Arabidopsis thaliana: one gene and its partners. The protein of the gene in region 1 interacts with the protein of each later gene in a pairwise test. Each region holds a gene or a part of one and is shown in the gene's direction. Other genes may lie near its edges. The genes, in order: ATMAK3, AGL21, TCP4 and ATO.

The links.
Region 2: the proteins of ATMAK3 (region 1) and AGL21 interact in binary tests that used the Arabidopsis thaliana proteins (3 or more experiments, as listed by UniProt).
Region 3: the proteins of ATMAK3 (region 1) and TCP4 interact in binary tests that used the Arabidopsis thaliana proteins (3 or more experiments, as listed by UniProt).
Region 4: the proteins of ATMAK3 (region 1) and ATO interact in binary tests that used the Arabidopsis thaliana proteins (3 or more experiments, as listed by UniProt).

Annotation. Positions count from the first base shown.
Region 1 is NC_003071.7:15,977,831-15,982,621, reverse strand, and holds ATMAK3 (Acyl-CoA N-acyltransferases (NAT) superfamily protein), read left to right. Parts: upstream 1-1,858; 5' UTR 1,859-1,984; intron 1,985-2,118; 5' UTR 2,119-2,152; intron 2,153-2,387; exon of another isoform or gene 2,388-2,444; 5' UTR 2,445-2,476; coding exon 2,477-2,656; intron 2,657-2,755; coding exon 2,756-2,876; intron 2,877-3,015; coding exon 3,016-3,071; intron 3,072-3,767; coding exon 3,768-3,983; 3' UTR 3,984-4,245; downstream 4,246-4,791. Other genes in the region: AT2G38150 (alpha 1,4-glycosyltransferase family protein), read left to right, coding at 1-922; PSRP4 (plastid-specific ribosomal protein 4), read right to left, coding at 1,163-1,297, 1,386-1,450, 1,518-1,674. UniProt on the Arabidopsis thaliana protein: Probably required for N-acetylation of some chloroplast precursor proteins and efficient accumulation of thylakoid multiprotein complexes.
Region 2 is NC_003075.7:17,834,682-17,840,854, reverse strand, and holds AGL21 (AGAMOUS-like 21), read left to right. Parts: upstream 1-1,885; 5' UTR 1,886-2,233; coding exon 2,234-2,415; intron 2,416-3,270; exon of another isoform or gene 3,271-4,093; coding exon 4,094-4,172; intron 4,173-4,317; coding exon 4,318-4,379; intron 4,380-4,503; coding exon 4,504-4,603; intron 4,604-4,693; coding exon of another isoform or gene 4,694-4,718; coding exon 4,719-4,760; intron 4,761-4,862; coding exon 4,863-4,946; intron 4,947-5,022; coding exon 5,023-5,160; 3' UTR 5,161-5,167; intron 5,168-5,262; 3' UTR 5,263-5,638; downstream 5,639-6,173. Other genes in the region: SHM1 (serine transhydroxymethyltransferase 1), read left to right, coding at 6,113-6,173. UniProt on the Arabidopsis thaliana protein: Probable transcription factor.
Region 3 is NC_003074.8:5,059,770-5,064,675, forward strand, and holds TCP4 (TCP family transcription factor 4), read left to right. Parts: upstream 1-1,911; 5' UTR 1,912-2,538; coding exon 2,539-3,801; 3' UTR 3,802-3,829; intron 3,830-3,911; 3' UTR 3,912-4,383; downstream 4,384-4,906. UniProt on the Arabidopsis thaliana protein: Transcription factor playing a pivotal role in the control of morphogenesis of shoot organs by negatively regulating the expression of boundary-specific genes such as CUC genes, probably through the induction of miRNA (e.g. miR164).
Region 4 is NC_003076.8:1,861,825-1,868,330, reverse strand, and holds ATO (splicing factor-like protein), read left to right. Parts: upstream 1-1,897; 5' UTR 1,898-2,032; coding exon 2,033-2,206; intron 2,207-2,635; coding exon 2,636-2,749; intron 2,750-3,218; coding exon 3,219-3,323; intron 3,324-3,432; coding exon 3,433-3,575; intron 3,576-3,678; coding exon 3,679-3,775; intron 3,776-4,201; coding exon 4,202-4,351; intron 4,352-4,430; coding exon 4,431-4,502; intron 4,503-4,785; coding exon 4,786-4,944; intron 4,945-5,041; coding exon 5,042-5,248; intron 5,249-5,324; coding exon 5,325-5,471; intron 5,472-5,561; coding exon 5,562-5,708; 3' UTR 5,709-6,006; downstream 6,007-6,506. UniProt on the Arabidopsis thaliana protein: Splicing factor homolog to SF3a60 that may be involved in pre-spliceosome formation. Is necessary for gametic cell fate determination.

The DNA of each region.
Region 1 (4,791 bases):
ATCGACTACCAAGAGCAAGAGTTTCCATACAAGAGTTTTGGACTTGTACAACAAGAATTGCTCTGCTCAGTTCTTTATGATTTGGCTTTCTCCTGCAAATTCTTTTGGACCAAGAGAGATGTTAGCTATTGATACTCTCTTCACCACCAATCCTGGTGCTTGCTTGGCGATTTTGTCCAACTCCTTAGACTCCCCAAACGGATACACTATCCTTAAACCATTGTTTGATCAAGGTTTCAACCTCATTGCTGTAACTATAGATATCCCGTTTCTCGTCAAGAACACTCCTGCTGAAGCTTGGCTGAAAAGGCTAAAGAGTGGCAACATGGATCCCGGTTCTATCCCCTTGTTCATGAATCTCTCTGATCTAACAAGACTCGCAGTACTCTACAAATACGGAGGAGTCTATCTAGACACAGACATCATCTTCCTCAACGACATGACAGGACTAAGAAACGCTATTGGAGCACAGAGTAGTGATCCAGCAACCAAGAGATGGACGAGACTAAACAACGCAGTGATGGTCTTTGACATCTACCATCCGCTAATGCGAGAATTCTTGCAAGAGTATGCCACAACTTTCGACGGAAACAAATGGGGATACAACAGCCCTTACCTAGTCTCTAGAGTTATCAAGAGATTAGGAAACAAACCTGGATACAACAATCTCACAATCTTTTCTCCCGATGCTTTCTATCCAGTAAACTGGATCAAAATCCAAAAGCTTTTCAAGAAACCTGCAACCACAAGAGAAGCAAAATGGGTAGAGAAGACAGTACAGGACATGAACAAAGGGAGTTACATGATACATCTGTGGAACAAAGTCACAAGGAAGATTAAGATTGAAGAAGGAAGTGTAATGCACACTCTCGTCTCCACTCACTGCACAGTCTGCGGAAACATCACAAACTCTCACATTTAAAGATCCAAACAGAGACAGATGATTCATCCATCTGATCTATCTAAGTATATAGATTCTCGTTCTTAGTTTGCTTTACTTTTTCAATGTAAAAGACTCAATGATTCATAAAGAAGCAAACTTTTCATAAAAAGATGAGAACTTTGGAGATGTTTTTAACAACAAAAGAGTCGTAGCATCAAAGCTTTTCAAAAAACAAATTAAAATTACAGTGAGAGACAACAAGTGAAGAATCTCATATTTCTAATTAGAGAAGAGAGACTCGTCGATATCGATTTTGATCTTCTCGTCGTTCTCAAACTTATCTTTCCTCGGTGGTGCTGGAGGAACCGGTACTCTCTCCGGTCCTCTTCCTTTGCTCTTGTTTCTTGGCCTCGCCTGCTTACATAAACCCCAAATTCAAAACCAAAATTGCGAATTTGCAAAGTAAAATTACGAAATCGGAAAGAGAAATTTGATTACTTACATTCCCAAAAGAGTGATTGAAACGCTTTCCTTTAGCTGTTTTCCGGTCACCTCTGCCACAGTACACTGCGAACACCGGAAAAGTTACGCCATTGACGAATTAAGAGAGAGTTAGATAAGAGAGGGAGATTACCGAGTGGAATTGAGCTGGATGAGGAAGTGGAGAGAGAGAATTGATGAGTGAAGCAAGAGAGAGAGACACCGGCAGTTTCAGAGTGAGAAGATGATAACCGTGAGGAAGGTAATGCGACGGTGACTCGCGGAGGAGCTCCGAGTATAAGCGACGCCATCGCCGTGTGCTGTTTTCGAATTTGTTCGAAGAAGAAGATCCAGAAGAAGATAAGGCAGTGAGAGTAGAAAAACGATTTTAGGATAGGCTTTTAATTATCTTTTCATATTTGGGCTTTAATTTCAATTGGGCTTATTTTAAAGCCCAAATATATCTAAACCCTACACATGCTTGTCACGTGTGTAATCGACCTTGTTCTTGTTCTTGTTCTTGTTCTTGTTCTTCTTCGTCTTCTCTTCGGAGCTTTTTTCTTCAGATATCACCCAGATCGTAACTTTTGATCTTCGAATTTCACAAAGCTCAAACTTTTGGTAAGTATTCTTATCATCTCATTGATCTTGGGTTTCTAAAAAGTTTCAATTTTTATAATCACATCTCTTTCTAAATCTCTCATTACTTGGTATTTAAAATCTGTGTGTGTTTTTTTCATTCTTATGCTTCACAGGATTCTTTACTAATCCTATTGTCACATAACATCGGTAAGCTCTCTTTTTTCTGAACTCTCAAATCTTCTATAGCTCGCTTTAGCCAAAGTCGTTTGCTTTAGTAGAGTGTTATAGATTCTGCTTCAGCTGTTTATTTGAGGCTTTGAGCAATCTGAGTTTGTTATGAAAACATTGAACTTTCAATTCTGAAACAATCACTCAACTTCGATTCACAGAAAATGATTTATATTCTCTAACTTTGCATTATGTGTTTCATCACTTCCTATAGGAACAAGATCATCAATGTATAAACAACTGATCAGAAGTTCATATTTCTCTTTGTAAGTATACAATTCGGGATCTTGATCACTTCTTGCAATGGAGAAAGAGATGGAAGATAAAGAAGAATTCGATGAGGGTGAGATTGAGTACACGAGTTATGCTGGTGAGCATCATCTGCCATTGATTATGTCTCTTGTTGACCAAGAACTTAGTGAACCTTACTCCATCTTTACTTACCGGTACTTCGTCTACCTCTGGCCGCAGCTATGCTTCCTGGTATTTTGACACTCAGCTTTCGATTATCGTTGCTTTACCCTCATGATACTTATGTTTTGATGGATTTATGAGTAGCATTTGTTTTGTTTCTTTTAATAGGCCTTTCACAAAGGTAAATGCGTAGGAACCATAGTCTGTAAGATGGGGGATCATCGACAGACTTTCAGAGGGTACATCGCTATGTTGGTTGTGATTAAACCATATCGTGGCCGAGGCATAGGTAATACTTGAGCTAGTGCTTCCTAACTTCTTACAGAATCAGATTTTGACTGTGGGAGTAGTGTTTGATCTACTGCAAATACATGCCTCTCTTAAGGTTCGATAATTTTGTGTGCTGACTTGTCATTGTTTTTTTACAGCCTCAGAGCTTGTCACAAGAGCGATAAAAGCGATGATGGAATCAGGCTGTGAAGAGGTATGCTGTTCTTGCATTCTCACTTCTCTCTTTATTCCCACTTTGGAGAACTTAGATATTTGGTAGCACTAGAGTGATATCCTTTCCTGGTAGTATAAATGTAGATAAGACCTTATGAACCACCTTTTCCGGAAGGTTATAAGTCCATTACATGTCCTGAAATAGTGCCTCCTTTTTATCTACTAGAATAGAATTTCATAGCTGAGGTGATGTAGCTGCCTTTAATCATTGCAAGTATACCTATTGCTTTTGATTGTTTAGCTAACTGTGTGTGTAAGTTTAGTTCCACGTATAAAAGTAGTTAATCATACTCCTAAGAGTTGGAACTTTTCGATATTCGTTTAGTTACTAATTTTGTAGTGGAAATCAAAATCCCAGTCTCTCACTTAGTATACATATGTTGTATAAGTCTTGTATGTAGTCCATGACTCTTTATAGTCACACGCATTGGAATGTAACTGATAGTAATATAAAATAAGAAATCCCTGTCTCCCACTTACTAATTGCGTATTCGACGAATCATTTTCTGTTGTATGTGTGATCTCTTAACTGTAATCTCAGTAGTAAATAGATTGGAAAAAGAACCTCGTGATTGGCATTTGCTCTTCAAGTTCCTCATAATCAAGCCTGATTACAACATGAGAGTATGGTTGTCTGGTTATGCAATCTAATTAATGTAAAGATGTATGGCTGAAGGTAACTCTGGAGGCAGAAGTGAGTAACAAAGGAGCATTAGCACTATATGGGCGACTCGGGTTTATAAGAGCCAAACGGCTATACCACTATTACTTGAATGGGATGGATGCTTTTCGCCTGAAGCTCTTGTTCCCTAAGCCTCGTGTACCTCAAATACCTTCTCAAGTTCAAACCCAACAAGAGTATGAGACCTTTCCTAGGCCTCGTGTACCTTAAGGCCATGAACGAAGATGTGTGTTTCTTCAATGTATTCTAAATCCTGAACATGCTAAGACTATGTTCTCTTTCGTATGAAGAAATATTATGTGTTGGTACAATTCTAGTCCCATGTTTATGAAGTATTCTCGACTGGAGTAAGCGATTAATCTGGACGTTTCAACGGTCTTGTGTGTCTACAGAAACAATTTAGCATATTCATATCACTTTGTGGTGTGCGTATATACGTTTTTAAGGTCTCTCAAACTTGGTTGATGATTGGAAACAAAGATCTAAATGTTGTTACAAATTCATATAACCACTTAACTTAACCTAATCGTCTCAGGCTACTCCTGACTTCGAGTTAAGTGGATGATATAGAAATCGAGATGTGAAGTGATTTTCAGCCATCAAAATTTTCAAACAGCTCTATATACCTCAAAAGAAATCCAAGATGACAAAAAATTGATTTAAGGCCAAAGGAGAGAAAGATGCCAGTCAAATGTTATGAAAAGACATGCTTGAATAATTGGTATGAGATATTTTATGAAATACTTTTATTGCATACCGTATTTTACTATAAAACAATTTTCTTTTCACAAACACAACCATCTTAGATTTATCCATGTTAGCCGAGATTTTTTTTGTATCCAGATAGTCCACTTTACAAAAAAAAAAAAGTCTAATATAAAGAAGAAGAAAAGCCTCAAATGTAGTTGCAAAACTCACATGGCCTAAATCAGAACAAATTAAAGACGATTCACCACTCGCCACATAATAGTTTATTGACAATTTGAACCCACTCGTTACCAAGGGTCACTAACCAAAC
Region 2 (6,173 bases), on another chromosome or scaffold:
AAATCTGCTACTTGAACAACAGATAGTCAGTAGTATGGGTGTATTATTTAAACTCTATAGTAAGCAATTTAATTTGGTAAAGAAATAGGTCATCTGTGAAACCTATTACTCTTTGGTAACTAGCTCTTATGGATTACAGATTCTATACATGTGTTAGATATTTGGTTTAGTCATTACAAAACATTTCTTAAGAAATAGGTCTTATATATATACACAGCAAAGATAAACACACACAATTACACAAAACAAATATTGTTAAAGGGGTTTTAAGAACCAAAATAAACAAAGATTGTGATAATTCTAGATTGTTTATGTTTTAGACTTGAAAAATATGGAAAACGTAGACAATAGGCTTGAAACGTAAAAGAAAGAGTGGTATAAACCCGTCGAACTAAAGATAATAATGATTATAATTGGTAAAATCGAAATGATTCGCTGATGATTGACACCTGGCGTGAATGAGACTGAATCTTTTATCTTAAGAGGACGATAATTGGGGATTTGGTCACTTGGAAGTTGGAAGCAACTTTAAGATTCTTTGTTAATAGAAAAAGAGCCAAATCTGAATTTGAGTTTGAGATTCGAGATGTGATTGGTTCGAAGCAGTCCAGCCCACGTGGTCTTAATAGATCTTTAATTATCATGTTATCTATCTGGGGCCCACCTAAATCTTATACATCAACGGTATAAAATCGAACTTGGTTATTAGGGTTTGAGCTTGGTTTAGTTCGGTTTAAAGGACATTTGCTACTTTTAAATCAAATTCAATTGATGGATACATTCGCGCTAGGGGTGGTGATTTATGGCAAGTTTGAGGGTTGGTCAAAGTTAAAGTTTAGACATTCAAAGAAACTAAAATAAACACACAAAAATAGTTAGTAATGAAGGATCAGGTGTACGGATTCTGCGGTGGAGCGTGCGAAGACTTCCATCAATTGGTGTTCTCAGGAGCTGTTCCTGCTTCTCCCACGTGTGCCTGTCACAAATGCATATTACATTTTAGATTGTATATTTGCAATATGCATAAGCTTGAAATATAAGTTACGGTTTATATATATATGGCCTTCTGAGTGAAAATATTCTATATATAAGTGAAAATTTTGTATAGCTCATTTCATTATGATATTGAACGCGAGTTGCTTTGAGTAGAAATCAAGCATTAAGCCATCGAAAGTAACAGACGTTATATAGTTATTTGATATTAAATTTCTTGCCATATTTGGAAACTTACGACAAAACAATTAATATGATGAATCTCCGCAACTCCAAGTCCCTGTCTGACACGTGTACTTGATATCGTTTAAAATCATTTATTAATTGACACAAAAATAATTTATTCATTTGTATTTCTACCGAAAGCCATATGGACTAATATATGTTGTACTAGATTAATACTGTATGTTTTTGTTCAATCCATTCTCTTACTTTTTTGGGTAAATATCTTTTGGACAGATCTAATTAATATAGTATAAGTTTTCCTATGACCATAATAAAGGGCCAGAATATTTTTAATTTTCTTTTAATCACCTCTAAAAGATACTAATTAAATTAAGTAAAGCAGCATATAAAGCAAGAGGGTTTTGTCAGAGAAACACAGTCCTGTGATGCGCCCATTCACTATTTTCACATGACATTTGAAATAAGACTTAAGAATAAATTATAAATAATGTACGGACATGTTAAAAAGGAAATATTATTGATAATGGAAATTTACCTAACTCACACTAAGTTTAATATTATTTCACTCCTTTTTATCTAAACAATTCCATTAAGTTTCCACTATCTCCCGTAATAAACAAACTATAAAAAAGAATCAGTGATTAAAGTTGTATATATGACACACATTTAAGCTATATCTATATATTCTCTTAACCTAGGAACTTTATAAGAACTTCTCTCTATTTCATTGGTTTGATAAAATCATACACACAAATACTAATTTTGGACTAGAAATTTAGTACTTTTCTATGTATTAAATCTACCCAAAAATGTCTCAAACTGAGAGGTGAGTGTGTATGTGTGTGTGTGCATATGCATATATATACTTAGTTTATTCCTCGAATAGATTGTTGACTCTTGGCTCAACCTTCCTCTCTCTCTATTTCTACCTTTCTCTTTCTCCTTATTCGTTCATCTTCATATTCCCTTCCCTTTTGGGCTTGGTAAGATCTACAAAAAAAAAAACCCTAAAAAAGAGAAGAACCAGAGGAGATTCAATTAGAGGATAAAATTGATGGGAAGAGGGAAGATTGTGATCCAAAGGATCGATGATTCAACGAGTAGACAAGTCACTTTCTCCAAACGAAGAAAGGGCCTTATCAAGAAAGCCAAAGAGCTAGCTATTCTCTGTGATGCCGAGGTCGGTCTCATCATCTTCTCTAGCACCGGAAAGCTCTATGACTTTGCAAGCTCCAGGTTCTTCTTTTAAAATTATTCATTCTGAAATCTTTATATCTTCTTGATTTTGTGGATGTACATCTACGGAGATGTTGTGTACCACTGTATGCATATAATTTTATGCTACGGTTTTGTTTATTAGAAGGCTTGGTGATATTCACTGAGATATATGTAGCTGTGGGATCTATTCAAATATAGTGGAATTTTTTCGCATCTGGCGGTCCGTAGAACATGTTACATTAATTTTCCCGTATGTACAATAAGATGTGTCTTGTATAGCCGACAAACAGTTTTCTTACAACAAAGAAAGATTAAAAATGAGGTAGAAGTTTTAAAGAAGAGTAATATTTTTGAAGCTGAAAAAATAATTTGAAGTAGTTTCTTTGCTTCATATTTGGGTGATTATATGTACCCATCATCAGTATGTTTTGAAGTACTTTCCTAACATATGTTTATGTGTATGGACATTGACTTATAACTAACTAAGGCTCATTGTTTGCATTTTCCAAATTTAGATATGTTTCAGAAATAGATGAGAAAACAAGTGTGAATGCCCAAACATCACTATTGGAAAGCTAAAAAAGAATTATAATTGGAGACCACGAGTTAGAAGATTGGTATGTAGAGGACTTAATTTCTCAAATCCAATAAACTGGAAGCTGATTTAGTTTAACCCACTAACAAAATGATCTATTTATACTCGTAAACATAAACATGTTTTTGATATTTATATATAATCATATATATTATTACTAAACGATCAGATTACTCTGTATATTTAACTTTATATCTGCAAAATCGTTATAATTGTCTATTTTCTGAGTAAGTTATTCTTTGTTAAAAGTTTGATTAATATAAAAAAAATATAGAGATAAAAAACTAATTATTAGAAAACATATATAAACATGTAATTCTAAATCATATAATATTTTGATTATATATTTTGAAAATTTATATAATTTCATATTTATCAATTAAAACAACCAAATAAAAGAGTATGGTAATGCGAATTTTTGTTTTTCCCTATTTTCCTTGAGGAATTTTATATTAGCATCAACCTTAAGCATTATTAATTCTTCACGTTTGTCTTTTGATAACATTTCTCATGTATCATAGGGTTTACGAACCTCTTGGTAAATGAAATTACTTAGCATATTTAGTCAAGTTTATATACCATTCTTAAAACTAACTAACACCATGTTATTGTTTGCTTGGATTTAAAATAAAGTGTGCCATGCTAATGCATTACATTTATGTCATTTTGTTTATAGCTTAGAACTGGATTCCTTTAAAGTTCTTGCTTATCTACACCCTAGAAATAACATTTAAGCATTTGTTTTTGTTACTTATTGAAAAAAGAAACTAACATCTACTTACTTTATATATAGTTTATCTAGTTTGTGTAACAAATTCGTATTACTGCTGAGTTCAAGATTATATACATTATGTGAAATGTATGTATGTGTACATATATAAGCGTGTGTAAATAATGTTGCCAATGCAGGAAAGTCTATATTGCACAAATTTCTAGGCTATGAGTTTTTTCTTTACGTATGAAAGCTTTTTAATGGAGTACTTGGAAAAACTTCACGATCGAAAATTAATATCTTTTACGTAATTTACTCTAAGAGATGATATGATATGAGTGAATTATATACCATGAACAAGGTATACTAATATTAAATATTTTGAATAGCATGAAGTCGGTTATTGATAGATACAACAAGAGCAAGATCGAGCAACAACAACTATTGAACCCCGCATCAGAAGTCAAGGTATACATATAGATATAGCGACAACTCTAAAGATATGTGATTATATATTGATTGATGCTTTAGCATGATGTTTGATTTTTGAAATGAGATTTTGGTTTACTGAGCTGTTCAAAGTTTGATGAGTTATTTGTGTTGTGTGTTACAGTTTTGGCAGAGAGAAGCTGCTGTTCTAAGACAAGAACTGCATGCTTTGCAAGAAAATCATCGGTATCGCCTTGAACTTTTATAACATTTTGTATTAAGAATTAGTCTTTGATCAAAATATAGAAGGCATGTAAAGGAAATGAAGAAACTTGTAGTTATGGATTGCGGTATGTTTGCTATGAAGCAGGCAAATGATGGGAGAACAGCTAAATGGTTTAAGTGTTAACGAGCTAAACAGTCTTGAGAATCAAATTGAGATAAGTTTGCGTGGAATTCGTATGAGAAAGGTACATAAATACATATACTCTACCTTCTATTATATGCTTTGGAGTGTATTACTCAAAAGATTGACTATAGAACACAACGGAAATCAATAGAACGATTGCTTTTCCGGATTCACAGGAACAACTGTTGACTCAAGAAATCCAAGAACTAAGCCAAAAGGTCACTATGATGAGATATATATATACACACACTGACACACACAAATATCCCCTACCAAAAGTTACAATTCTAATTTTGGGATTTTTGTTGATCGTGGTGCAGAGGAATCTTATTCATCAGGAAAACCTCGATTTATCTAGGAAAGTACAACGGATTCATCAAGAAAATGTGGAGCTCTACAAGAAGGTAACAAATCATGTTTTACAAAAACTCCATTTTCTTTGGAGTAAGAGCTTCGAAGTGATATGGCTTCGACTTTCAGGCTTATATGGCAAACACAAACGGGTTTACACACCGTGAAGTAGCTGTTGCGGATGATGAATCACACACTCAGATTCGGCTGCAACTAAGCCAGCCTGAACATTCCGATTATGACACTCCACCAAGAGCAAACGAATAACAGAGAGGTAAACTTTTTTAATTGATCTTGATGTTTCACAAACATGCATGCACCATTTAGGCATTTTATATATTTTATGTAACTCGTTAAAAACTTTCACAGATTGAAGTTGGAAGATACCATGATGTTGAAGAACACTCCAAAGGCCTTGGTTTGAATAAGGTTCTTGAACTGGAAACCTCTATACACCAAGCCACGTACGATAAGCAGCATGGTTCTTCTAACATAGTCATATTTTCAATCCTAAATATAATTAAAGCATATATAATTAAAATCCGGTGTTGTTATACTCATCTTGAGTATTAATATTGTACTTGTTTATAACCATAGATTCGTCAATTAATAGAGAAAAATCATATGAATTATTATCCTCAAAACTCTCTCAAATATCAATATTCTTAGATCAATAATTTGTTTAATATATATAACCATGCACTTGGTAATTCTAAAATGTTAAATAAACATTTTCTGTTAAGTTTTTTGTTTTGTTGGTTTTATTTTGTAAATTCACCATAATTCTGTTAATCTTATTCCCCCAAACTAACCGGTTTGGAAACTATATAAATTAAATTGATGTGTGATAACTGAATCGGTTATCGTTGACTGCACTGACCAGAAACCAATAAAGGTTCTGTCTTAAAGGGAAACAAATCATCGTCGTCACCAAATCATCACAATTCACAAAGGTTGGTGTAGACAGGGACCTGAGAGATAACGACAAAGAAACAACAAATATAAAATAAAAATCAGAAGAAAATATAAATAAAAAAAGAGGGAAAAAATTCGAAAATTTGCTGCAACCACCAAAAGCTCAGCCAAAAGCAGAGGCCACAATTCTCTCAAACAAGATAAACCCAATTTTGTTATTTTTGTTCTCTCTTCTCTCTCGTTCATGTTTCAAATCTGTTTCTAGGGTTTCACAAACCAGAGATAGAGAGAGGTTTAGCGAAAAATGGCGATGGCCATGGCTCTTCGAAGGCTTTCTTCTTCAATTGACAAACCCATTCGTCCTC
Region 3 (4,906 bases), on another chromosome or scaffold:
CTTGGCCATATTGTCAACTACTTTGATGATCACAATATCATTTTGATGAGGCGTATATATATACATTTAATTAATATTGATGTCAAAAACTAAAACTGACGTTAATAATCAATGACATTATTGTGCTTAATTATTGCATTTCATACAAATTTCCCCATAATTAAGAATTTAAATCTCTCGTAATCATTCTATTTTGTTGTGTTGCAAATCGTGACCGTAATTCCAAGTGGAAGCTACTTTTGATTTACATTTAATTAATATGCAACCGTGGGATGACATATATTCTCCTTTTCTCTACTAAACAACCTATTTCATGTTTAAATATTATATTTTGTTTTGTTTGATTAATTATTTTATTGTGTTCGTATTAGGTTTGTTAATTGACCCTTTTCTATCATGCTAATATGTCACTTTCTGATTTATTATTACATTAAAGTAGGTGGTCTAATAGTAATTATTTATATGAATAGTTTTAAACTATCAAATAATGCTGTATACTATATATATTTTTCCAACTAAAAAATTATATAGTTATGATCCTTTGCGTCAAGTTTTTATTATTGCTTTGAAGAAAAAACATATTCAACTACTTGAAAATTACGTTAGCTTACCGTACGTGTGTTCAAATTTAATATGCTACAAAATTGTGTGAACAATATAATAGGTTTGTTGTATTTATTCGTTTTTCACCAATCTGGAGATATTTTGTGGTACAAGTATTATAACCACAATATATTCCATACATGAATTAGTTGTGAGAGTTATAGTCAAATTGGTTGGGATTCAAGAAGCATTATACTATTATTATAGAGTCCCACCAATTATTTTTGAACTCGTAAAATTCTCAAGATCTTAGAAATGTCTCCGTTGAAGCTTAGATTGTCTTTTACTCACCTTTATTAGTTTATTTATACGTCGTATTCTTCAATTTCAAAATACCTTTCATATATGAATTTGGGTGATATGCACACGAACACGATACGGTGAAATCAATTAGTTCCACAAGTCAAAATAGCTAGAAAAGAAGTATTGGATTTTAGAACAAAGAATAACGAGAGTCTTATTGTGTTTGTTACTAGTTTATAGAATCTAAAACAGGATTGCAAAAAACAAAAACATCAAAAACGAAGATGAGAGATGAAAAAAGAAAATCTTAGATTATAAAGAGCCCTAATTGTATTGCTAACTAATATTATATTCTTCTTTTAACGAGTTCGATTTTTCGAATAAAATCTACTTTAGTTAACTATTGAGATTCTTACAACAAAAAGGTAAAAAGAAGTGGAGCATCAACAAGCTTTATGTATTTGCATTGAACTAGCATGGGTCAACCCTTAAAAGAAACCGAGAAGCACAAAAGGTTGAATTGAACCTTGACCCATCTAACACCATAGGTTTTTAGGGTATTTATTCATTTATTGAATTCGGAAACTCGAAAAATAAAGTAGCTAGTTCATTCCAGTGATTTCAACTTTTTAAGTATATAATCCCCATGATTATGTATGTATGTGGACATGTCCACGAAAAGAGTGCCCATTTTCATATCAAGGAAGTTAGTAACTCTGACCAAAAGTAGATGTTTTAACACATCTTAGTATTTTTATATCACACTAAATTAAAGTAGTCTGTTTAATGTATTCTCTTAGAAAATAACATAATGATTTGCATGCACATAACAAATCCTATACTATTATTTTGGTAAACAAATTTGGTTTTGGAAACATCTAACTCTAAAAACCATCATTATTATTATTATTATTTTTTTTCTAATATTTTGGCATCCTACAATTTAGTTTATGATTGTGTTGATTATTATTTGGTTGTATTTGCATCTACACATTAAGTTAAACATTGATTTTAAAAATTAACATGAACAAAATGAATACTTACTGTTAAAACCTTATAACAATCAGATTTTTTTTTTAAACAAAGAATGGAAAAAAATGAATAAATTTGGGAAACGAGGAAGCTTTGGTTACCCAAAAAAGAAAGAAAGAAAAAATAAAAGTATTGAATGTGGAGATGAGAGGAAAAAAACACTTACTGTCATCTTACCCAGTTGCGTCATCATCAAACCCACAACACTCTCTTCCTCTTCCCTCTTCCTTCTGCTTATTTTACTTTTTCTCTTTAACCATTTTCCCGAGAGAGAAAAATAAAAAGAAAAGCTTTCTCTGGGTTTTTCTTGATTGGTCAATTACACATCTCCCTTTCTCTCTTCTCTCTCTCACCTTCGCTTGCTTTGCTTGCTTCATCTCTTTGGTCTCCTTCTTGCGTTTTCTATTTACTACACAGACCAAACAATAGAGAGAGACTTTAAGCTATAGAAAAAAAGAGAGAGATTCTCTCAAATATGGGTTAGTCCACAATTTTCACTAAACCTCTTCTTCTTAGGATTGTTTTTAGGGTTAGGGTTTTGAGGTGAGGAGAGCAAGTATGCGGGAGTTTCATCCTTTTTGAGTTACTCTGGATTCCTCACCCTCTAACGACGACCACCGTCGCCGCCGCCGCCGCCGTCTCGACGAATATGCTCTACCAATGTCTGACGACCAATTCCATCACCCGCCGCCTCCTTCTTCAATGAGGCACCGTTCTACGTCGGATGCGGCGGACGGCGGCTGCGGCGAGATTGTTGAGGTGCAAGGTGGTCACATTGTTCGGTCTACCGGAAGAAAAGACCGCCACAGCAAAGTCTGCACGGCTAAAGGGCCACGTGACCGGCGCGTGAGACTCTCTGCTCACACGGCGATTCAGTTTTACGATGTTCAAGACAGGCTTGGTTTCGACCGACCTAGCAAAGCCGTTGATTGGCTTATCAAAAAGGCTAAGACTTCCATTGACGAGCTCGCTGAGCTTCCTCCCTGGAATCCCGCCGATGCAATTCGCCTAGCCGCTGCTAACGCTAAACCCAGAAGAACCACCGCCAAAACCCAAATCTCTCCGTCTCCGCCACCGCCGCAACAGCAACAACAACAACAACAGCTTCAGTTCGGTGTTGGCTTCAACGGAGGAGGAGCAGAGCATCCGAGTAACAACGAGTCGAGTTTTCTCCCGCCGTCAATGGATTCAGATTCGATAGCTGACACTATAAAGTCGTTTTTTCCGGTGATTGGCTCTTCAACGGAGGCTCCTTCGAATCATAACCTTATGCACAACTATCATCATCAGCATCCGCCGGATTTGCTTTCTCGAACTAATAGCCAAAACCAAGATCTCCGTCTCTCGCTGCAATCGTTCCCGGATGGTCCACCGTCGCTTCTGCACCACCAACATCACCACCACACCTCTGCTTCCGCCTCCGAGCCTACTCTGTTCTACGGACAGAGCAATCCGTTAGGGTTTGACACATCGAGTTGGGAGCAGCAGTCGTCGGAATTCGGAAGGATTCAGAGACTAGTGGCTTGGAACAGCGGCGGTGGCGGCGGAGCAACCGATACAGGAAACGGAGGAGGGTTTCTGTTCGCTCCTCCTACTCCTTCAACGACGTCGTTTCAGCCAGTTCTTGGCCAAAGCCAACAGCTTTATTCTCAGAGGGGTCCCCTTCAGTCCAGTTACAGTCCCATGATCCGTGCTTGGTTTGATCCTCACCATCATCACCAATCCATCTCCACCGACGATCTCAACCACCACCATCACCTTCCTCCACCGGTTCACCAATCAGCAATCCCCGGAATCGGATTCGCCTCAGGTGAATTCTCTTCGGGTTTTCGCATACCAGCACGGTTTCAGGGCCAAGAAGAGGAGCAGCACGACGGTCTCACTCACAAGCCGTCCTCTGCTTCCTCTATTTCTCGCCATTGACAATCGAAACTAATCCTCTAAGTTTCAGGTTTATCTCAAGTTCTGTCCTTTTACATCAAATTCACTACTTTTGTACTTCTTTGGTCATTGAACTTTAAACCATTTTGCAGGGCTTGTCTAGCTTCCATGCACATTGAAGCTTGACTTAGATTGTCCGGAACAGGGAAGGTGTTCTCGGTTTGTGTAGTCAATGGCCTGAATCTAGAAAACGCAAGGAAATGAAGAAAGAACAACAGTTTCAGGTTCTTCTTCTTCTTCTTCCAATATCTTAACCTTGCCGATTGTAATTTTTCATATTTTCACCAGTTAGACCAACGTTCTTCTGTAGCTCAATTATGGTTAGATTCCAAGGTTTCGTCTTGTTGTGTTATGTTTGTAACTTTGTATCATCATCATCCTATTGTTACTGCTCCCTGTTCTTATTGTGTAACTCCGTGGATGTTCTAATAAAGTCTGAAACTTTCTCTTTGGGTTTTACTTTTACTGCTCTGTTCAGGCTAGATCCTTGTTATTTAAACAACATGAGATTCCTATTTCTCACGTAATCTTTTGGTCCCAAGAGATATAAGTTGGTCATTTTCCATGAACAGTAAGTTTTGAATTGTTTCTTCTTCTGGAACATCAGGGGGATTTAGCCAGTTCCCTTAAATTACAAGTGAAACTTAGCTCACTAAGAGTAAAAATATGATTATTGTTTTCTATGTCTGATGTCAATAATTGTTCTCTCTCACCTACTTTAGTGGTAGGAGGAGATCCACCAAACTTGAATGTGATGTTGTCTTTGATGAGTAAAAGAATGGGGACATGAGATAGGTAAAGAGAGCCACCCATGTTGGTCTAAATGAAGGAAGTTGATCAAAACTAGTCTATCTTCTCTATCATCATCATCTTTTGATAATAATATTGGATTTTTGCAAAGTTTAGTCAAAAACACTTGGGGTCTAAATGCATGTGTATTATAAGAATATTTAACTTTACCTTTTAATAGAAAAGCAGCAACACCTTTTCATGTGATGTAATCAAAACACACCAGATGGATGAGTTGAGATATCATAAAGTACGTTTACATCAAAAGATAGAAAAGAAGAATCTTCAATTTAAAGGT
Region 4 (6,506 bases), on another chromosome or scaffold:
ATAGTCAATAAACGAGGATAAGCTTCTTCGACTAGGGTAAAACAAGTCTTCACTATATATACAATGCATCTTCGATTATAACCCCCAATTCTTAGATATTAGGGCTTATGTTCTAAATCGTGTTATTCGTATTTATCGTTTTTTTTTTAAATCGTTGCGCAGCCCTTAAGATCGCCTTCCACAAATGCTTAATGGAAGCGTGTCGAGTCATTGCTGCGCTAAATCGAAATTTATTAAGGGTTTTTGATTAGGGTTCTCCTAAGAACTAACCCAGTTTTTACCTTCCTGATTTATTATAGGTCGAGTTTTTTTATATCGGCATTAGATCTGGAATTAAGGTCCTCTCTCGCTGACTCTTCAGATATAAGTGTTTATCTCTTTTATCTGCTAGAGATCTTTGCGTTTGAGGATTTTCAGATTTTAATTTCGTTCATTTAGTATCTCGTTCTATATAATCGGGTAGGATACATTGTTTTTATTGGTTTTGCAATGAAACGGCGAGAATGATGAACCAATTAGATGTGCGAATGAGGGGTAATTTCCTCATTATGAGCTTAAAACTGTTTGAGGCATATTTAACATCTCTGACTTCGCCGCTTTTCAAAAGTTTTGTTTGAGTTTTTATTGTTTGTTTTGGTTTGATGGAATAGTGGAAAATGAGGAACATATAACTCAAACGTGAATCAAACCATGTACCAGTTTTTGCTTATTGATATTCTGATTCCACCATTTGAAATGAATAACCATATTTGCTTTGTTTTCTTGATTTGGTTTGCTGTGTTTACGATGAACTCTCATTTGCTTCTCTGTATTTATTATCTTTTTATTAAGAAGATCAACTCATACGAAATGGTGATGTTTCAAAGTGAATTACTTCCAACCTTGATATCCTTAAGTTACAATTAGCGACTCATGAACTAATCGAAATATGGTTTGCCTTAGTTTGCCGTAAAGTAAGTGATATACTGATATGTAAACGATGTTGGCATGGACTATCTTTCAAAGACAACACCTGAAACAGAATTCTTGAGCTTGGACATGGAAGTGACTAATAATGGAAAATTGTTTATAGATAAAAAAAATAATACCAAATATGAATTGTTAACGACATTTCAATTTTGTATGTCCACTCGGAGATCTTCCTTTGGTTTTACAAACATAAATCAATATCAGAAGTCATAAGATTAGTCTATGGGATTGGCTATTATTTTGTTGTCAGGTGGCAATACTTACCCCAAAATGCCCATCGTTGGTTCAATATGAATATATGATCATCCTATATAGCTCTTTCCTGAGGAAAACAACCAAATATAGCTCTTTCCATTGATCTATTAAAGATGTCATCTCAACAAACCTCAATACTATTAGGAGATAGCTTGCAAATCTTATATCATGTGAGATATCATGAATTCAATTTGAAAAGAGTGAATAAATGGCTTGTTAACTCTTTAACTTTGACAATGATGACTTGATTTTGTGTTAGTTTGCTACCAATATCAAAGCCATTCATAGTGGATGGTTGTAAACTGCCCATTTTTTTTCTGTACAACCTTCTCTCCGTTAACATCTTTGCAAATGAACCCATTGAAGTATAGTACAATATCAAACAAACACATAATGTTTGAGTATTCCCATTAAAAGAGGATTGCAATCAGATAAAAAATATATAAATTACCAAATGGAATAGATCTTAAAAGAAAATAATTACCAAATGGTATTTTACCATATTATAGATTTTTTTATAATAAGTAAAATAATAATAAAATATAAAAGAAAAAAAAGAGTCTAAAAAGGCCCAAAACACTAACAGTCAAAAAAAGGCCTAAAACACAAACCGTCTAAAAAGGCCCAAAACATAGTTCGGCTTAAACGACCCAAACCACAACAAAAACCACCCGATTATCTTTTTCTCTCGGATTGGCGTTAAAAATTTTACTGGCGAGATTTCGGATTGAGGAAAAGAAAAGTGACTGGAATTTAGGGTTTAGACTCCGGCGAAGAAGGAGATTTCAAAGCTTCGAAGACAGAGAAAATGTCGTCGACTCTCCTCGAGCAAACTCGCTCCAATCACGAAGAGGTTGAAAGGTTGGAGCGATTGGTTGTGGAAGATCTACAGAAGGAGCCACCGTCCAGCAAGGACAGATTGGTCCAGGGACATCGTGTTCGTCACATGATTGAGTCTATTATGCTCACCACTGAGAAACTTGTACGCTTTCTCTCTTCTTCTCGTCAATTTTTAATCTTCTTTTCTATTTCCCGCATATGTTTTTATGTCTCTTCTCTTTTGAATACGTTAGATCAGAGCAGAGAAACTTGGGTTGCTGATTTTTTTTTAAATAACAGGTTCGTGTTGAGTGTTGCCTCTTTTTCTGTTAATTGCTTTAGCTTTTTAGGTTATCATTGTGGGGTTTAAGTTAGCTTTGAATCACTCTGGCTTGGGTGTTAAATTGAGAAGAAACTTCAGAGATTGGTGTTGAATATAGGTTATAGTTGGGGTCTTAAGTGTGTATGTAGGGATTCTAAGTTTTGAGCTAAGCATGCTTCAGTGTTATTTCACAAATTTGAGTTAATTTTTGTTGTTGATAATTAACTCAAACTTGGATTAATGCTAACCTTGATTCTTGTTTGTTGTAAGGTTGAAACCTATGAAGATAAGGATGGGGCGTGGGATGATGAGATTGCAGCGCTTGGTGGCCAGACTGCGACAGGGACAAATGTGTTTAGTGAATTTTACGATCGTTTGAAAGAGGTTTGTTCTTTATCCTTTGCACCTTCCTTGGTCTTTTTTCCCTAAAACTTGCCTATGGTTCTCTATACCAAGACTTGGCTTTACTTTAGTTTCTGTGGGTTGTATATTAGAGATTGAGCAGCTAACTTTACCGGACTATTAGTTAATCTAGACATTGTTATTTAGCTGTTGATCTTTTAAAAAAAAATAGTTTTATTGATTGCCTTGAACCACTGTGATGGAGAATCAAGAATTATGTACAAAATCTCAGTGAAAGTGTATTAGTTCTGTTCCATCAACAATTTGGTTAGCTGTATAAGGCTTGCTTTGCATAAGAGTATTAAGGCGGTGAAATTTTCATGAGGACACCCTGAATAAGATTCAAATTGCTAATTCGTTTTTTTTTTATTGTCTGAATTATTTGATTTTCTTGTACCACTGATGAAAGCATCAGAGCTGCAACTATTTAACTTCTTTTATAAACTTACAGATACGTGAATATCATAAAAGGCATCCTTCTGGACGTCTTGTTGATGCTAATGAAGACTACGAAGCACGCCTGAAGGAGGAACCAATTATTGCGTTCAGTGGAGAGGTAGGTTTCTGCTTGACTTTTTATTGTTGCTATTTGTTGACGCATTTTTTAACAGTTTGTAAGCCCCTTTTTTATTGTCAATACTTAAATCTTCTTGTCTGTTACGCAGGAAGGCAATGGTCGGTACTTGGACTTGCATGATATGTATAACCAGTACATCAACTCTAAATTTGGGGAAAGGGTTGAATATTCTGCTTACCTTGATGTTTTTTCTCAACCAGAGAAAATACCGCGTAAACTGAAGTTATCGAGGTAAACACTTCATTGGAATTTTCTTTTACTTAGAAAGCCTCCAATTATTTTTCTAGCTGCAGCTGAATGGCTTTCCTTTTTGTATTGCTATTTTTCATTTTAGGCAATACATGAAGTATATGGAAGCTCTACTTGAGTACCTGGTCTACTTCTTCCAGCGAACCGAGCCGTTGCAAGATCTTGACCGGATACTTTCTAAGGTTTAAGCTCCTCCCTTTCTTTATCATTTTATTGCGTTTACCTTGTTGCCTTATGAAATTTTATGGGCGTTTCGAACTATGCATTAGTACATAACTGGTATATTTATTCGTGCTTAAGAAGTTTCTACTAGTTTCCCAAGTATTAAGTGTAGAACTTTGGATTTGATTTCCTTAGTTCTAACAACTGGTTGCTTTGTGAGTCTTTCATCCCCCTGGAGATAATACATAATTTTGGAAAATAAATGGCCATAACTAGATGGTTGTATTCAATATTCATTGGTGCATAGTTTGCTCTAAGTGCAGAGATTGTATATCCTCGGAAGGTTTTGAACCATGTTATAGTTTGACATTCTGGTAGTTCTAGTTTGGCCAATGCTGTGCCTATTGTTTGATCTGTTGCGATTAATATGTTTGGTTCTTTTACAGGTTTGTTCTGATTTTGAAGAGCAATATGCAGATGGAATAGTAGAAGGCCTGGATAATGAACTTATTCCATCTCAGCATACTGTCATAGATCTTGATTACTACAGTACAGTCGAGGAACTGGTAGATGTAGGACCTGAAAAGCTAAAAGAGGTAATGACCATACTACTTCATGTTAATATCCTTTTTGAAGCATATTCCCCTAATCATATGTTCTTTGTATGCCATTCAGGCATTGGGGGCATTAGGACTGAAGGTTGGTGGTACTCCGCAGCAGCGTGCCGAGAGACTTTTCCTGACAAAGGTTTTTACACTTGCTATATAATCTCCTATTTCTTTAAGTTTCGTCTTATGAGAGGGTACTTTTATCAATTAGTAGCCGCGTTCTTGTTGTTCTTACTGGGTTTGGAAGGAACATTTAGCTGTTATGAAACCTAGTTTGGTAGTTCAGCTCAGCTCTTCTTCTAATATGAAACTAAGGCTTTTGTTGTCATAGTTCATGTTTTGTAGGGATTGAATTCTATTTGAAGCTTTTCTTATTACCTTGAGGTTATCTAATTCCCTTAATTAATTCAATTTTTGTACAGCATACGCCTTTGGAAAAGCTGGATAAGAAACATTTTGCCAGACCTCCACACAACGGAAAACAAAACGGAGATGCCAAATCAACACATGAGTCTGAAAATGCTAAAGAGATTGCACTAACAGAGGCCAAAGTGAAGAAACTCTGCAATTTACTTGATGAGGTTAGTTGATTGAAAGCTCATAGTGACATTTTTTTCCCCCTCCCAGATATCTAGTTGTACTTTTTCTGTTAACTTTTCTTGTTGTCACCTTTTATAGACCATCGAAAGGACAAAACAAAACATTGTAAAGAAACAGTCGTTGACATATGAAGAAATGGAGGGAGAACGTGAAGGGGAGGAAGCTAATACCGAATTAGAAAGTGATGACGAGGACGGTTTGATTTACAATCCGCTGAAGCTACCAATAGGTTGGGATGGGAAGCCTATACCATACTGGCTCTACAAACTTCATGGCCTTGGCCAGGTATGTAGTTTATTTATGAGACCATTGTTGTATCAAAGGAACATAGATTCACATTAAATTTCTTGTTATTACGCAGGAGTTTAAATGCGAGATATGTGGGAACTATAGCTATTGGGGAAGAAGGGCTTTTGAGAGACATTTTAAAGAATGGCGACACCAACACGGAATGCGTTGCCTAGGAATCCCAAACACAAAGAACTTCAACGAAATCACTTCGATTGAGGTAATAATATAATATGATCAAAGACTTTGTACAGCTTAAAGTAGTAAATAGTTTGGTAATTTGATCTTGTTGTTGTTTGGTTTGTTTCAGGAAGCCAAAGAATTGTGGAAGAGGATACAGGAGAGGCAAGGAGTGAACAAATGGAGGCCAGAACTTGAAGAAGAATATGAAGATCGTGAAGGTAACATTTACAACAAGAAGACTTACTCTGATCTTCAACGCCAAGGTCTCATCTGATTGATCACATCCTCTTGATGAAATCTTCTCTCCTTACTATATCCCTTTAAACCATATTCTACCTTTCGCCTTTGTAAAATCAAACCATTCGTCATCTTTTTGTGAGGTTTCGTCTCATTAAAACAGTATTTAGTTTATGTTTTTGAATTGACTATCACAATCGAGGATATAAAATTTGTTTTTGTATGGACAATGCTAGTAAGGAATAGTTGAGGACTTTACTTCAATAACAAGAAACAGATATGAGTTAATATAGGATACTACATGTAAGAATCAATCACTAAAGTTTTCAGATGATAGTGTACTCACAAATTTTGAACTAATTTTTTGATCTTTGATATTCTTACAAAATTGGAATGTTTTAATTTCCTTAATTATCCAATTCCTAACAAATCATTGGTTCCTTTTTTGATAAAACTTAAAATTTGAGTCAAACTTTATAAAAATTATCAAAATAAACAGATACAACCTCAATACCTCATACGACTGTCAAATTTTTTAAAGTAAGCTATCACATAGTTTACCTTTATTTTTTTTTATTATATTTATTTACGATATTTTTTTTTTTTGAAAAATACACAGATATTTGATTTTGGTCAGATATATGTCCATATACGAAGACTTTCAAATTTTATTTGTTTTCAAAAAACCTAAACATACAATCTCATTTTGCTATTTTGGAAAGAATAATGAAATATTCCTTTCTTAATCATATTCCAAAATTTTAATTAAGAAATAAAAGTTGGGATGGGCTTTACCTTTTTTATTTACAGTCCAACGGCCTCATTCGATGACTAG